Ovis aries: one gene and its partners. The main gene of each other region encodes a partner of the protein of the gene in region 3 in a complex. Links are inferred from orthologs where the notes say so. Each region holds a gene or a part of one and is shown on either strand. Other genes may lie near its edges.

Region 1 (5,302 bases), on a different chromosome or scaffold from region 3:
GCTCCTGGCTCTGGGCCTCTGCCCTTGTTCCCTCTGCCTGTGTTGCTTTCCCTCCAGGTATATGCATGACTTGTTCCTTCCTCACTCTTTTGGGTCTCTGCTCAAATGTCTTGCCTAGACACAACCTATGAAAGAGCACCTCTGTTCCCTATAGGTCACTGTTTTCTCCTTCTCTCTGGCATTTGCTGACAAAGGACACATTTGTTTAAAGAGGGCAAGGACGCTGCCCATTTTGTTCCCTGTTACACCCTTAAGTGCCTAGAACAGTGCCTGCATTATGGTAAGGGCTTAGAAAATACTTCTCGGATGAAAGAATAAATACATGAGAAGATTTAGGAAGAGAAACACAAGAGTTCAGTCCTTAATATGCTGGGACTGAAGCATCTGTGGGAAATTCAGGTAGAGCCGTGTAGAAGATTATTAATAGATATTGAAATAAATTTTAAACAGCAACAATGGTTATCTATTAAACAAGTAATAAAAATACTTGCATTCCAAGCACAGGCTGAGCACATTACACTTAAGTCATTTCATCCTCACAACAGCTTGGCAAAACTAATGGAGCTGACCCTATGGGGCCTTGGAGGACAGGGAGCAGGCTCCTCTCCCATATCCTCTGCTTTAAGGCTCCTCAATAACAGCATCTGATGCACATTTCCTGAGTTGTCTAATAGATGTTAAAGCCACCATGAAGTGGAAGAAATGAACTACGTGATGAACATGAGCAGAGCCTAAGGGTTAATAATGTTACTCCCTGTGATACTACACGGCCACCTCACCATCAGCCAATCAGAGAATTGTGCACAAGCTGATCACATACCCTGGGATGCCCCTCCCTCACGTTGTCTTTAAAATGCTTTGCTGAAACCCACTGGGGAGTCTGGGTGTTTCAAGCCCTAGTCTAGTCCCCGGAGGGCTTCCCTGATGGCTCAGTGGTAAGGAACCCACCTGCCAATGCAGGAGATGAGGGTTTGAAGATCCCATGGAGAAGGAAACAGCAACCCACTCCAGTGGTCTTGCTTGGGAAATTCCATGGACAGAGGCGCCTGGTGGGCTACAGTCCATGGGGTTGCAGAGTCGGACATGACTTAGTGACTAAATAACAATAACAGAAACAAACTAGTGCCCAGCCTCCTTGCTTGGTGCTGTCCAGCAGTAAATGTTGCACTTTCCTTCACCACTACCTGGTGTCAGTAGATTGGTTTTACTGCGTGTGGGTGAGCAGACCCAAACTTGCTTGGGCTTCCCAGGTGGCGCTGCAGGTAAAGAACCCACTTGCCAATGCAGGAGACTTAAGAGATGCAGATTTGATCCCTGGGTTAGGGAGATCCCCTGGAGAAGGACGTGGCAACCCAGTCCAGTATTCTTGCCTGAAGAATCCCATGGACAGAGGAGCCTGGCGGGCTACAGTCCATAGGGTCACAAAGAGTTGGACATGACTGAAGCAACTTAGCATACACATGGGTGAGGAGACCCAAACCTGCTTTGGTAACAATAAGAGGTATTCAATTACCCCCCAAAGAGAAAAAACATTCTTGGAGTGGGGATTCCAAATTGGAAAACTTTAGGCATGTGTAGGTACTAGAAAGAGCTAGGGAGACTGTGATGCAGGGAAGGATCACCGATGAGTCTTAACTCCTATTTTTTTTTCTTTGTCTCTGCATCCTTCTCACCTTCATGTACTTGTTGAAGACTGTCTGGATCTCCTCGTTGATGCTGGGCTGCAGGACAGCTCGGAGGAGGTCCATGGAGATGGCAGGATCTGTGAAACTGCAGAGGGAGGGAGGGGAAGAAGCCACAGTCAGGAGGCATGTTCCAAACATTTCTTTTCCCAATCTGCCCAGCCAATTACTGACATAAGATCCTTCAACAACAATAACAGATGGCTTTGGGACTTCCCTGGCAGTCCAGTGGTTAAAACGCTATGCTTCCACTATAGGAAGCACTGGTTTGATCCTTGGTCAGGGAACTAAGATCCTGCATGCCATGTAGCGCGGCTAGAAAAAGAAAAAAACAAACCACCCCCGAATAAACAAAAAGATGACTTTTACTGAAAACTAGCTATGAGTCCAAGTTCTGTGCAAACCACATAGATGTGGGACTTCATTTCATACTCATAACTCTATGAAATGGGCACTATTTTTAAAGTGTTTTAGCAGAATAATACTTAATATACTGTAAGTTTTAGTGAACATCCATTTAATCACTACTTAGGTCAAGACTTCCCAGGTAGTGCTACATGTAAAGAATGCGCCTGAGATGCAGGAGATGAGGGTTCGATCCCTGGGTCTGAAGATTCCCCTGGAGGAGGGCATGGCTCCCCACTCCAGTATTCTCGGCTGGAGAATCCCATGGTGGGCTACAGTCCATAGGGTTGCAAAGACCTGGACACCGTTGAAGCGAATTAGCATACATACACACATACAGGTCAACAAACATATACAACCAGCATCCCAAAGACCCATCTTGCGCTCCCTCCCTTCCCTGAGATGGAGACTATCAGGCTTACGTTTCTCATAATCTTCATGCTATTCTGCCTCTTTGGCAGCTTTAAATACAAGAGCCATTGAACGTTAGGGATCTTGGGCATTGTCTAATCAACACACCTCTCCCTCGTTTTGAGTTTGGGGGAAATGACTTGCTCAAGGTCACACAGAGAGTTACTGAATCTGAATCTCCTCCTTCTACTGGCTGATGAACTCTTTCTTAGCCCTGTGCAGTGGGGACCGCAAAGCTGCCTTCCACGCCAGGGCCCTGGAGAGACATCCCGTCCAGGGCTAGCCTTACCTTGTGGTCATCTGTGAGCGGCGGCCCCTCCGCTGCACTTGCCGGTGCTTGATCATTATGTTCCAAGGGTTCTGTGGGGACCAAGGGAGCAGATGTCACCGAGGTCCGTGACACTGGCGTGGAGGTGGAGCGTGGGCATTAAGTTACACCTCAGACATTCCTGCTTCTCGGGTGCTTTCACCGTCTCTGCCACCTTGGGCTAGGGCGGTGCAGGGGAAGGCCCGGCAGGGGAAGAGGAACAGAGCAAAGTTTCCTGCCTCCAAAGTCCCAACCCTACTTTTCATAAAAGGGTGGAGGAAGGGGACCAGTGTTTACCGAGGGTCTACTCTGCCAGATGATGCGCTGGGCGCTTTACCCGCATTTATTATCCCTCCCCCTGACAACTTTAAGAGGCAGGGGCTAGACATCTCCATCTTCCCGAAGATAAAACTGGGGCTGAGAGGCTTGACAGGGCTGGCCCACGTCACCTAGCTAGGAGGGCGGCACCAGAATTTGAAGCCAGGTCGTCGGACTGTGACAATGCCAACCCCCTCGGTAGATCAGCCGCCGCGTTCTCTCCCCCGCGGGCCAGGGTCCCGGGAGCCCGAGGCCCTGCCCGGCCCGAGCCCAGGCCCCGCCTGGGCCTCCCCGGGGGCGCCCTCACCGTGAGAACCAGCTGCCCCGCTGCGCCCGCGTCTCCCAGCTCGGGGCCACCCCGCTCTGCCCCGCCGGGTCCCCGCGGCTGCTCAACGTCGCCAGTGGCCCCCATGGCGCCACGGGCCCCCACAACTTCAGCCCGACTCTGCCACCGGCCGGAAAGTGGCCCCGTGACGTCATTGGAGCGCGCCGCCCTCAGGCTCCGGAAGCGCGACGCGGCGAGCGGTGGGGTTGCCAGGGAAACCGCGCCGCTGGTTCTCGTCCGGTTGCAGCTGCTTAGAGGCGTTGCGTGTCGGGTGGCCTTTCTGCCTCTCGGGGGCGGCCTCGCTTCGGGTGTGACTGGGGGTGTTCAGTCAAGGGTCGTTCTCTGGCCGGGCCAAGGCCCGTGGAGAAGTGCGGGGCGGGAGGAAGGGAGCAGGTTTCCATGGGCTGGAGCTGGGGAGAGGAGGGGGGCGTTTGGTACGGGGGCGTCTGCGGTTGTCTTTGGAAAACTAGATTTTAATATGCTCCCAGAATTGGATGGGCCTCATGCGAGGACCCCCAAACCCAACAAGAGGTGGGGGCGTCTGGCCCATGGCATCCTAAACACTCACTCAGGGGTCCCTCCAGGCCTTTACCCCAGGGGTTGCCTCTTGGCGTCGGAAGGCATCTAATGAAGATCCTGGGCTTCTCTCCCCAGATGGTTGATTCTGGGATAGGTTGAGGATGCAGGGGTTTCACAGCTGTGGAGTTCCCCAGATCCCCTTTTGCTCTGCATTAGAGGTAAGACATCCATGAATAGAATTGGACCTACTTTTACCAGGTCATAATATGGGGTAGTAGAAGGTGCATGAGTTTTGCAGTTAGAAAGATCTGAGTTCAAATTCATTATGATAAGATGATAAAGAACACTGGCTATGGAATTGGACTGCTTACCTTTGTTCTGGGCTTCCCAAGTGGCTCAGTGGTCAAAGAATCCTCCTGGAACACAGGAGATGCAGGAGACGTCTGTTCCATCCCTGGGTCAGAAGATTCCCTGGAATGGCAACCCACTCCTGGTATTCTTGCCCGGGGAATCCCATGGACAGAGGAGCCTGGTGGGCTACAGTCCATAGAGTTACAAAGACTCAGACGCTGCAAAAAGTCAGACATGACCGAAGAAACTGAGCATGCACACACGCACCTTTGTTCTACCACTTATTAGCTGCGGCCTACATTTCTTTCTGCGATGCAGTTTCCCCATCTGTAGAATGGGGATAATAGTATTTAACTCATAGGGTTGTAGTGAGAATTAAGTGAGCTAACTTATGTAAAGTACTTAGACCCTTGGCAGTAATAAACCTTCAAACAATGCTATCTGACATTCCTGTTATTAAATTCCAAAAGCCACCACTTACTAGCTTAATGACCTTGGGCAGTTTTCCCTCTAAAAAAAGAATAAGTTTTCTTACTTTTGCAAGTTAGTTGTGAGAAATAAAATATGTCAAGCACATATTAGATCAACAAATGTTCATTTATCAGCCTTAAAATAATAAGGTGACTTTCTGGCAACAAACTCCTAGACCCTATTTAGGTTTTTTATCTTGTGCCTTGAATGTCCCCTGCCCTTTAACCTTGTTAGACTAAGCAGAGCCAGTGGACACTATTAAGTATCATGGTTAATCAAAGGGACAGATAAAGAAAAATAAAAAGAAATATAGGAAGAAGAGATAAAGAAAGGGAGTCTATATGACCTAGGTTATTCCTTGAGTCAGCAACTGTTCTTTTGAGTTTTGTCAACTAGCCTTCCTATAGTCCAAAAATGTCCTATATGGGCCAGAGTGACCAAGATGTAGGTTTTTGGTGCATTTATGTTAGTTCTGAAGAAATTCAAACACTACTTTTCTATAGTTTTTGAATA
Region 2 (5,311 bases), on a different chromosome or scaffold from region 3:
GGACGGTGCAGCTTGAAAAGAAAACACAACACTTACCATTCAGGATTTTTTGCCCACTACATTTATTTAAAATGTTTTTCTTCCTTTGCTGTTTCTTAGAGGGCAACCCACTCCGGTGTTCTTGCCTGGAGAATCCCAGGGACAGGGGAGCCTGGTGGGCTCCCGTCCCTGGGGTCGCACAGAGTTCGACATGACTGAAGCGACTTAGCAGCAGCAGTAGCAGCAGCAGAGCGGAAGTGCACAGATGGACAGGATGGCTGTGAATTTCAGGGTAGATGACAGTTTACATTTTAAAAAACTCATTTATCACTCAGTTTACTCTGCAAATATAAAAGAGCTTTCAAAAAAAAACCCTACTGCTTTCTATTTTTGTTTAAACAATGGGATTGAACAGGATATACGTACGATAAATGACGCGCTACCATTAGCAAAGGTGTAGCTTTCGTACCAGCCACTCCCAACCTTCCACACCGCCCTCCACACGCCCGCGCACACAGACACGTACACAGACACGCGTGCGCGCGCTCACGGATCCGGAGCACCCCTTTCCCGGCGATCTCGGCCGAGCGCGCGCCTTCGGTCTCTGGGAGCTCGTGGCTGACCGGAACTCAGAGGGGTTCTGCTTTTTATTTTTCACGTGTGATTAGACAGGTTCCCGGTTCCTTCGAGGACAAAGTGGAGGTGCCCGGGCTGGAGGCGGAAAGCAGCCCCTTTAAGTCCACTCATCCGGAGCTCCACCTCAGGAGGCGGTAGACAAGAGTCCGCCCCGCAAGCCAGCGCGATCCTCGCACGGACAATGCTCGGATCTGGAGAGCCTCCAGTCCTCCTGCCGAAGGGGAGGTTCGGACGCACGTCACCCCTCCCTGCCCACCGCCCCCGCAGGCGTCCTGATGGACCATCTCGGGCGTCAGTCTGCAGAGCTGCTACCCAGACCCCATGGGGTTAGACATGGGGCCTCTGGGACCCCAAAACTGCCAGAGCCCCGTTCTTCTTGGTTTGGGTTTCCCACAAAAACGTTGTTTAGTTGCTAAGTCGTGTCTGACTCTTGCAACTCCATGGACTGTAGCCTGCCAGGCTCCTCTGTCCACGGGCTTCTCTAAGCAACAATACTGGAGTGGGTTGCCATTTCCTTCTCCAGGGGATCTTCCCCACCCAGGGGTCGAACCCATGTCTCCTGCATTTGGCAGGCGGATTCTTTACCACTGAGCCACGTGGGAAGCCCCACAAAAGACGTCTTTACATCAAAAATTTTTTCACAGATACAAAAAAGGCCCGAAACTTTTTTCCCCCACACCTTCCCTCCCCTCGTATCCCCTCCGTTCCCACCCTCGCACCCCCTCCCCTCCTACCCCCGCCTCCCGCCTTTTGTGCTTCGCTTCAGGAGTTAAGTGACCTCTTCGTCTAAAGTGCCAGCTCTGCAAAATCCAGGAGCTAAACACAGCTCAACTTCCCGGGAGCTACCAGAGCCAGAAAACATCACAAGCCCCCCGCCCCGCCCCCCACCACACGCCCCTGTTTTCTCAATGTATTACCGAAAAAAAAAAAAAATCCAGATCCGCCTCCGCGCGATGAATGCTGGGATAAGAAGTTCTCCTAAACCATGAAGCTCGATGTCAGACTGGAGCTTAGGTTGGCTCCCCAAAAGAGAACTACAATTCCCGTGGTGCCCTGCGGGCAGAGTGGAAGGGGCGGGACGGGCGAGGGCGCAATGTGCTTGCGCAGATCGAGGGCCGAAGGGAGGCGGGGGTATCGAGGTCCGACTGCTGAGGAGTCTCCATGTGACAGTGAGCAGCGTCCCAGCTCCAGGCGACGCCAGATTCCAGTTCCCGATCCCACGCCCCGTCCACTGATCCTGTGCCTGCAGACAGCAGCAGGCCGGGGCCTCGTGGTCTTGGCCGGAGGACCCTGGCTCAGAGTTAATAGTCTCCGCTAAGCAGGTGCGAGGGACCGCCGAGACCCCGGCATCTCCAGAGAGGCAGGCGGCGCGGAGAGCGAGGCTTCTGTCAGCGCGGCTCTGCGAGTGCGGGAACATGAACGGCTTCACTCCCGAGGACATGAGCCGCGGCGGGGACGCGGCCGCCGCTGTGGCCGCCGTGGCCGCCGCTTCTGCCGCCGCCGCGTCAGCCGGGAACGGGGCTGGGGCTGGCGCCGGGGCCGAGGTGCCGGGTGCAGGGGCGGTCTCGGCGGCGGGGCCGCCGGGAGCGGCAGGGCCGGGCCCCGGGCAGCTGTGCTGTCTGCGCGAGGACGGCGAGCGGTGCGGCCGGGCGGCGGGCAACGCCAGCTTCAGCAAGAGGATCCAGAAGAGCATCTCCCAGAAGAAGGTGAAGATCGAGTTGGATAAGAGCGTAAGTGACGGCGGTACGAATCTGCTCTGCCCGCCCCCCGGGGCGCTCGGGGAGAAGGGCAGACGCGTGCCGGTGGGGGTGCGGGAGCCCCAGACCTGGGTGCCTCGCGAGCCCGTTCCGGGGTCCCTAGTAGGAAGCAAACAACAAGGTGCTGCAACTCGGCCCGCCGTCCGCAGTAGACACTCTCGCGCCTCCCGGACCCGCTCCCGCGGCCCCTCCCGCGCAGGGCCTCCACTCCTGCTCTGAGGGGGTCAGTGGTGAAACAAAGGGGGCGGCAGCGCCGAGAACCCAGAGTAGCTGTCCTGCAACCCACGGCTCCTTCTGGAACCGAGGCACCTTCTTTGTTTTGCTGCCCGAGCGGGTAGCTTCCCCGGTCCAGGAATGGAGTGCAGCCAGGACCGGACGCTGCGGGCGACTAGGACCCTGTCCCGGGTCCCGCGGGTGCGGGGTGGGGGGCCCCCGGCTGCGAGCCGCGCGGCCGTGTCATCATCTAGGGGAACTGCTCGAGACGTGGGGAGCGGGCAGCCGCTGCGGGTTAGCCCTCGGTTTGGCAGCCATCAGGGTTTCTTTCTTCGTCCTTTCGCAGGTCTGTTCCTCTGACCATCTAGGAGGTTTTTAGAAACGACCGTTTCCACTTTTCCGAGCCCTGGGGAGCGGTAATAAATCACAAGATGTGAGAACCAGCACACGTCCTGCATCTTCTTAACTTGCACTTTAGCTCAAAGTTTAATTTGAAAACCTGTTAGCTCATTCCTCAATTTTTTTTTAAGAAGTAACTGCTGATGTATAAAACCCAGTATTTCAGAGGCTACCGTACAGCTCTCAGAACTATATAATTAACGTTTTTGGGAACTTTATTTGGGATACTTTCTGCCTATTCAGTTAGTTCCTCAGTTCTGTTTCCAGTAGTTGAAACTTTCCAGGTATACTTGAATCATTTCACATTGCTTTGGTTGGAAAAACTTATTATAAATAAATGCTTTTATTTAATACTCAGGAAAGTTCATAATTCAAATTTAAACTTAGTAAGGATGTGAAATCAATTTATTTGTCAAAAGTGGATGGTTTTGTGTCTGGATTATAATTTGAGTATTAAGTTAGATTAGGAAGCATTCACTATGGTATTAATATTATTAAATGCTCTTTTAAGTAAAGAAAATACTATCAAATAGCAAAATTGTGGCCAGCATCTTTTTGCCCTTGTTTAAAAAAGCGGCATAGCTGAACTAATCTAGTTCACCATCGCTGCAATTTGATGACAGAATCCAGAGCATAGGAATTTCTCATTCTCTGCTTCTCTCCCTTCCCTTACTGGCACTTCTCCCCACCCCACCCCCAGGCCTCTTTAACAATATTGCTAGACATGATATGTTTTAACTGGGTTCAGGACTTAAGAGTAGCAAGAAACATGCCTTGTTTTAACTGGGTTCAGGACTTAAGAGTAGCAAGAAACATGCGTTGTCTTAACAATGGCCTGTTACTAATGTTTATATTTTTAATAATTCACCGTAACTATGTATTTTACTAATACATAGACACATTTTCCTGTAATCTTAAGTTGTCTGTGAAACTTTTCTGTTCCAGGCAAGACATCTTTACATTTGTGATTATCATAAAAACTTAATTCAGAGCGTGCGAAACAGAAGAAAGAGAAAAGGGAGTGATGATGATGGAGGAGATTCACCTGTCCAAGATATTGATACTCCGGAGGTAGGTGAAAGGTTTGTAAGTTAAATGTAAAACTTCTGAAAGTTTTATTTAAAAAATATGAACAAATTCTAAAAATACTTGAAGCATTTGAAAACTCTAAAAATGAAAGCAAAATTAAATATAGCCAGTTAACATGCAGTTATGCAGTTTGACTTGTTATGGCTTCAATTGACCACTTTTTTTTTAATTTTAAAAACAATTCACTTATTTTTTAATTGAAGGATAATTATTTTACAGAATTTTGTTGTTTCCTGTCAAACGTCAACATGAATCAGCCATAGGTGTACATATGTCCCCTCCCTCTTGAACCTCCCTACTCAATTGACAACTCTTATAGTCCCCAGTCGTTAATAAGCATCCTCAAAAGATTGAACTGTTTAATGCATTTTTAGTTTTGATTATTTAAAAGCCTTTTAAAATAATGGAATTAAATTTTCACTGTGTTGAAGTTGAAATGTTTTTTAGAGCAAATATTAGTCATTAGCAAATGATATGAACTAATTCATATACGTTAATTTTTTTCTAGGTTGATTTATACCAACTACAGGTGAATACGCTTAGGAGATACAAAAGACACTTCAAACTCCCAACCAGACCCGGGCTTAATAAAGCACAGCTTGTTGAGGTATATATAAGTTTTAAACTATTTAACCTTTAATGCAAAAAAAGTCATTAAATACTAATGATGTTAATTTAGTATATATAACAATACATTTTAGTTAGAAAAATCAAAGTTAATAAAATCTAATGTGGAAGAATCTAGTTGCCTAGAAATGTTTGTCTATCACTTAGGAAATTCCTTTATATAATGATTACTCATTAGATTATATGCAGTTTTCTAAGCATCTTCTAATACTGACTTTCAAAAATAGTAAGTAAAAGTTTTTTTGTATTCTCTCTCTAGAAACCTGTTTCTTTTAAAATTTTATTTTACTCAGTAAACACTTATTGAGCACCTAATTGAGGCATAATAATAAATTAATAAGCTTTGATGTCTTTGTTAGAATTTTCTTGGTTTTTGTTGGAATAGATTTTACAGATAAACCTCTAAACAGTATTCCTGTAACTTGCTGATTTAACTATTTCAGAATTTGTTCTTGTTGGTGTTAGTTTGTTTATGTGAAGCATCCCTGTTTTTATGACTAAAAAACGCAAAGACTTTTATCCAAGCTTTTACTTATAGGTTCTTGAATATAGGACTTGCAGTCCTTCAGTGAATTTTGAAAAGTTGAGTGCTTGTGTTCTCAGGAAATAAT
Region 3 (4,243 bases):
TGAAGAAGGAGGGGCCGTGACTGTGGTCCCAGAGGAAGAAATGCCCCCCGGCTGTTTCTTACTAGGTTCAGACATCTGGACCCCCATGGAGAAGAGGCTCTTTAAGAAGGCATTCTGTGCCCACAAGAAGGACTTTAACTTGATACACAAGACGGTAAGCGCACGCGGCAGGCTGGCATAGAGGAGGTTCCCTCACCGAGCCAAGGGGCTAGAGCCGCAGGGCCTGTCGGGAGTGACTCTCCGCTCCTGCTGTGAACGACTGACAACTTTAAAAAGCCATCGCTGAGAACAGCCCCAAACAGTACAGAGAAGAAGCCTGTGTTCAAAACAAAGCCCTCCAGGCCCCAGCCCACTGTCCACTGACTGTAACCTGACAGGCATTTACTGTCCGTGCAGTTTACACACATATGTACACTTTCTCAAAAAATGATGAGAGTGTATATTTGATATCCTGCTGATTATCTTGCTTTTTTAAAAAACTGGTCCACAAAACTGCACATAATCGAAGTGTAAGATTCGATGTTTTGACGTACCTGTCCCCGGTGGCTCAGCAGGTAAAGAACCTGTCTGCCAGTGCAGGAGACACAGGAAAGGCAAGTTCGATTCCTGGGTCGGGAAAATCCCGTGGAGAAGGGAATGGCAGCCACTCCAGAATACTCACCTGAAAAATCCCATGGACAGAGAAGCCTGGCAGGCTACAGTCCATGGGGTCAAAAGCTCCCTCCTGCGCCTTTGTAACCTCTCCTTCCTGCCATCAACTCCTGTCTGCTTCCTGCCACTGTGAGTTAGTTTGCATTTTCTAGAGCTTTATAGAAATGGAGTAATCATGCAGCATGTGCTCTGCTTTGGCTCCTTCCAGTCTGCATGACAGTTTTGCGCTTCATCCACGCTGTCGTGTGCGCCAGTAATTCATCAGTTTGCTGAGGAGTATTCCATTGCGTGTCCCCTTCTCTTTTTCAAAACCTTCATTCCGGGCTGCACGGGGTCTTCCTTGTGTGGGGGTTTTCTCCAGGTGCAGTCTGGGCTTCTCAGAGGGGTTTCTCTCGTTGTAGAGCTAGGGCTGTAGGGTGCGAGGGCTTAGCTGCTCCCCAGCATGTGAAATCTTCCCAGACCAGGGATCAAACCTGTATCCCCTGCATTGGCAGGCAGATTCTTAACTACTGGATCACTAAGGAGGTCCCATCGTGTGTCCTCTTGTGGGCCTCTTCCCTCAGTACTTACTGTAGGGCCCCCCAGCTGTCGCAGAGGCCATGAGGTACCCACTGCATGAGGGTGCTCTGCTTTAATTAGTCCTGATACATAGACACACGGCTCCACATGGTGTCACAGCAAATGCATACCTCCGTGTGCATATCCCTGGAGGGAAGGGTTCCTGGGCCGGCCGTGTTGCTCAGAGTGTGCAGAGCTTAGCTGGTGTGGGCTCTGGTGGTTTCCTCTCTGAGCCCCTCACCCCTTGGAAGGAGTCTGTGATTCTCTGCCCCTTTAGCAAAGGGGCCCGCCAGGCCATAGCAGGAGAGAGTTCAGGAGGGCTTTCAAAAAGTGGCAGCTGGCCCCCGAGGGGGAGGGGCTCTAGGGCATTGAGGCCCCACTCACTACTGCTCCTGAGGCGCTGTCCACAGCCACCTTCTGTCTTCCCCGATCAGATCCAGACAAAGACCGTAGCCCAGTGTGTCGAGTATTACTACATCTGGAAAAAAATGATCAAGTTTGACTGCGGCCGAGCCCCAGGGCCAGAAAAGAGAGTCAGGAGGGAGCCAGATGAAGTAGACAGGGCGGAAGCCAAGGTAGGGGGTCTCGGGGAAGGGGGTCTGGAGTTCAGCCCGATCCGGAGGCCTGGTGCCTATCCATGCTGGGCAGGGGTGGGGGTACTCCCAGCAGGAGGGGCTTTCCATGGGCGATGTTCCCATGGGCTCTGGGTCTGTGCTGGTCCCTTAGCAGGGTGAGGGGGTGGCTCAGCACCCTTTTGTCATCTCTGCCCACCCCTGCAGGTCACTTGCAGTCCTCGGGAGAGACCCAGCCACCGTCCAACCCCCGAACTAAAGATAAAGACCAAGAGTTACAGGAGGGAGTCCATCCTCAACTCCAGCCCGAGCTCTGGCACCAAGCGGAGCCCCGAGGCACCTGGGAGCGTGGAGGGCCAGGGCGCCTTTCCCTGCCGGGAGTGTGAGAGGTACTGAGCTCCCTGGAGGCGCCTGCACCGCCTGCCCTCAGCCCCTCTCCATCCTCTCAGGGTCCCCCCGCCCGCCTCCCCCTGCTCTGATCCCCATGTTCTCTGGTGCCTCTGCAGGGTGTTCGATAAGATCAAGAGTCGAAATGCCCACATGAAGCGGCACCGGCTGCAGGACCACGTGGAGCCCATCGTCAGGGTCAAGTGGCCGGTGAAGCCCTTCCAGCTGAAGGAGGAAGAGGAGGAGGAGGAGGAGCTGGGGGCTGACATCGGGCCCCTGCAGTGGTGATTCAGGGCGGGGTGGCAGCGGGGACAAAGCAGCAAGTCTCCCCGAGGTGCCCCTCTGCCTCCCCAACCCGTCCCTGTTGCCAGGGGCCAGCCCAGCTTGCAGACATGGCGGGCACTGGGTCACGAGCCGGGGACACACGGTCATCTGAACACCGTGAAGGCCCTGACGCTGTATCGGAGGCTCCATTCTCTTAGGTTCATAGTCTCTCCCCTTCTGTCAGTTCGCCTCTTCCTGGAGCAGTGAGGCTTGGGGAGGGAACAGGTTAGGTCTGGGTAACTCTTCAGTCTTAGCCTCCATTTCAGGCTTTGGTTACGTTTATTCAGTAGGCCAAGATGTAGAGAATCAGTGGGAATTACCATCAGATCTCCACCGCACCAAGGCCCCTCGCGGAGGGTCTCTCTGCATTCTAGATTCTGCCCCTAGTCTTGACGTGACTTGTACATTGTTAGGTTTGGTTTTTCTTTTTTTGTACGTGTCGACTTGTAAGTCTTATTAAATTGGGTTCTTAAGCAGCTCTCTTCTGGCTTCCTCGCCTATTGATCCTGTGAAGGCTTGAGTCCCTGCCCCTCCAGGAACCACAGGGATGAGTAAGCTGAGTCCCTGCCAGCATTTATTAAGCACCTGCTGTTGTTAGGCCAGACAGTGCCCAGGCCATACAGTGGGGACATGATGACACGGAGGGACAGGGCCCCTCTCCTCACAGAGCTCACAGTTTAGGAGCGGAAGGTAGCAGTGATAAGTCAGCAAAGAGGCCAGTTTAGATATCGATCGCGGATGTGGCTTTGGCCATAGTAACAGAGTCGGCCTAGGTTTAAGCTCTCAGGACATGTGGTAGTGGTGTGAGCAGCTCTCTTGTGAAGTTCAAGCCTGCCAGCGGTGACCAGCGTTGGCAAGAGCAAGGACCCCCTCCTCCTCCACCAGCACCCCAACCTTCAGAGGACACAGGGCAGACAGCACGTCCCTCCCTGCCTTGCTTCCCTTCTTTAGAGGGAGGAAAGCTTGTGGTGGGGCTTCCCAGGGACATTAGGACATTCTCAGGTGGCGCTAGTGGTAAAGAACCCACCTGCCAGTGCAGAAGACGCAGGAGAGGCGACTTTGATCCTTGAGTTGGGAAGATCCCTGGAGAAGGAAATGGCAACCCATTCCAGTATTCTTACCTGGAAAATCCCATGGACAGAGGAGCCTGGCGGGTCCATGGGGTACAGTCCATGGGGTCACAAAGAGTCAGACATGACTGAAAACACACACACACACAGAAACCCCTTGTAGCAGCGCCTAGCAGAACTCGCCTCATACCCCCTTGGCCAGGACTGTAGCCCATGTTCTTTCTAAACTGATCCCTGGCGGCAGGAAAGGAAATGGCCAGTTATCCTGGACACGGGATCTGTCTCCAGGCCTGCAGAAAAAACAGTTTGCCTCAAGTTCGTTGTCACCCAATCAAAACTGGAATCCTGTTTGCCAAGAAAAGAAGAGGAAGCAGGAATGGCTCCTGTGGAGTCAGACCTTGTGTCCACCCCAGAGTGACACAAAGAAAGGGGCCAAGTCCGAGGGAGTGGCAGGGTGTGGCGGGCGCTGGTGAGTGGATGGGGAGGTGGGGTGCGCAGAGGACACCACGGAGGCTGAGACCTGGCTTCTGGGCCAGAGCGTGAAGCACAGACTGCCCCAGGAAGCGGGGGAGGTGGTTCAGAGCTCCAGCTGCCATGTGGAGGTTGTGGTGGGCAAGTCGGGAAGCCAGAAGGCTCTCGGGTGAGATGATGGCCTGGGCTGGGGTAGCAGTGAAGAGAGCC

Evidence for each region. Proteins that work in one complex are often made in the same cells at the same time.
Region 1: ZNF541 (region 3) and DNTTIP1 share a complex: the UniProt entries of both Homo sapiens proteins name them as parts of the histone deacetylase complex. The link is inferred for Ovis aries from reciprocal best matches to the Homo sapiens genes ZNF541 and DNTTIP1.
Region 2: ZNF541 (region 3) and SAP30 share a complex: the UniProt entries of both Homo sapiens proteins name them as parts of the histone deacetylase complex. The link is inferred for Ovis aries from reciprocal best matches to the Homo sapiens genes ZNF541 and SAP30.

The regions. Positions count from the first base shown.
Region 1 is NC_056066.1:74,537,669-74,542,970, reverse strand, and holds the start of DNTTIP1 (deoxynucleotidyltransferase terminal-interacting protein 1), read right to left. Parts: upstream 3,594-5,302; 5' UTR 3,536-3,593; coding exon 3,431-3,535; intron 2,859-3,430; coding exon 2,788-2,858; intron 1,771-2,787; coding exon 1,674-1,770; intron 1-1,673. Other genes in the region: WFDC3 (WAP four-disulfide core domain protein 3), read left to right, coding at 4,129-4,185. UniProt on the Homo sapiens protein: Increases DNTT terminal deoxynucleotidyltransferase activity (in vitro). Also acts as a transcriptional regulator, binding to the consensus sequence 5'-GNTGCATG-3' following an AT-tract.
Region 2 is NC_056055.1:107,372,151-107,377,461, reverse strand, and holds the start of SAP30 (histone deacetylase complex subunit SAP30), read left to right. Parts: upstream 1-1,718; 5' UTR 1,719-2,030; coding exon 2,031-2,345; intron 2,346-3,929; coding exon 3,930-4,055; intron 4,056-4,581; coding exon 4,582-4,680; intron 4,681-5,311. UniProt on the Homo sapiens protein: Involved in the functional recruitment of the Sin3-histone deacetylase complex (HDAC) to a specific subset of N-CoR corepressor complexes. Capable of transcription repression by N-CoR.
Region 3 is NC_056067.1:54,251,053-54,255,295, reverse strand, and holds the end of ZNF541 (zinc finger protein 541), read left to right. Parts: exon of another isoform or gene 1-65; coding exon 66-154; exon of another isoform or gene 155-1,643; coding exon 1,644-1,784; intron 1,785-1,988; coding exon 1,989-2,170; intron 2,171-2,287; coding exon 2,288-2,456; 3' UTR 2,457-2,968; downstream 2,969-4,243. UniProt on the Homo sapiens protein: Transcription regulator which is essential for male fertility and for the completion of meiotic prophase in spermatocytes.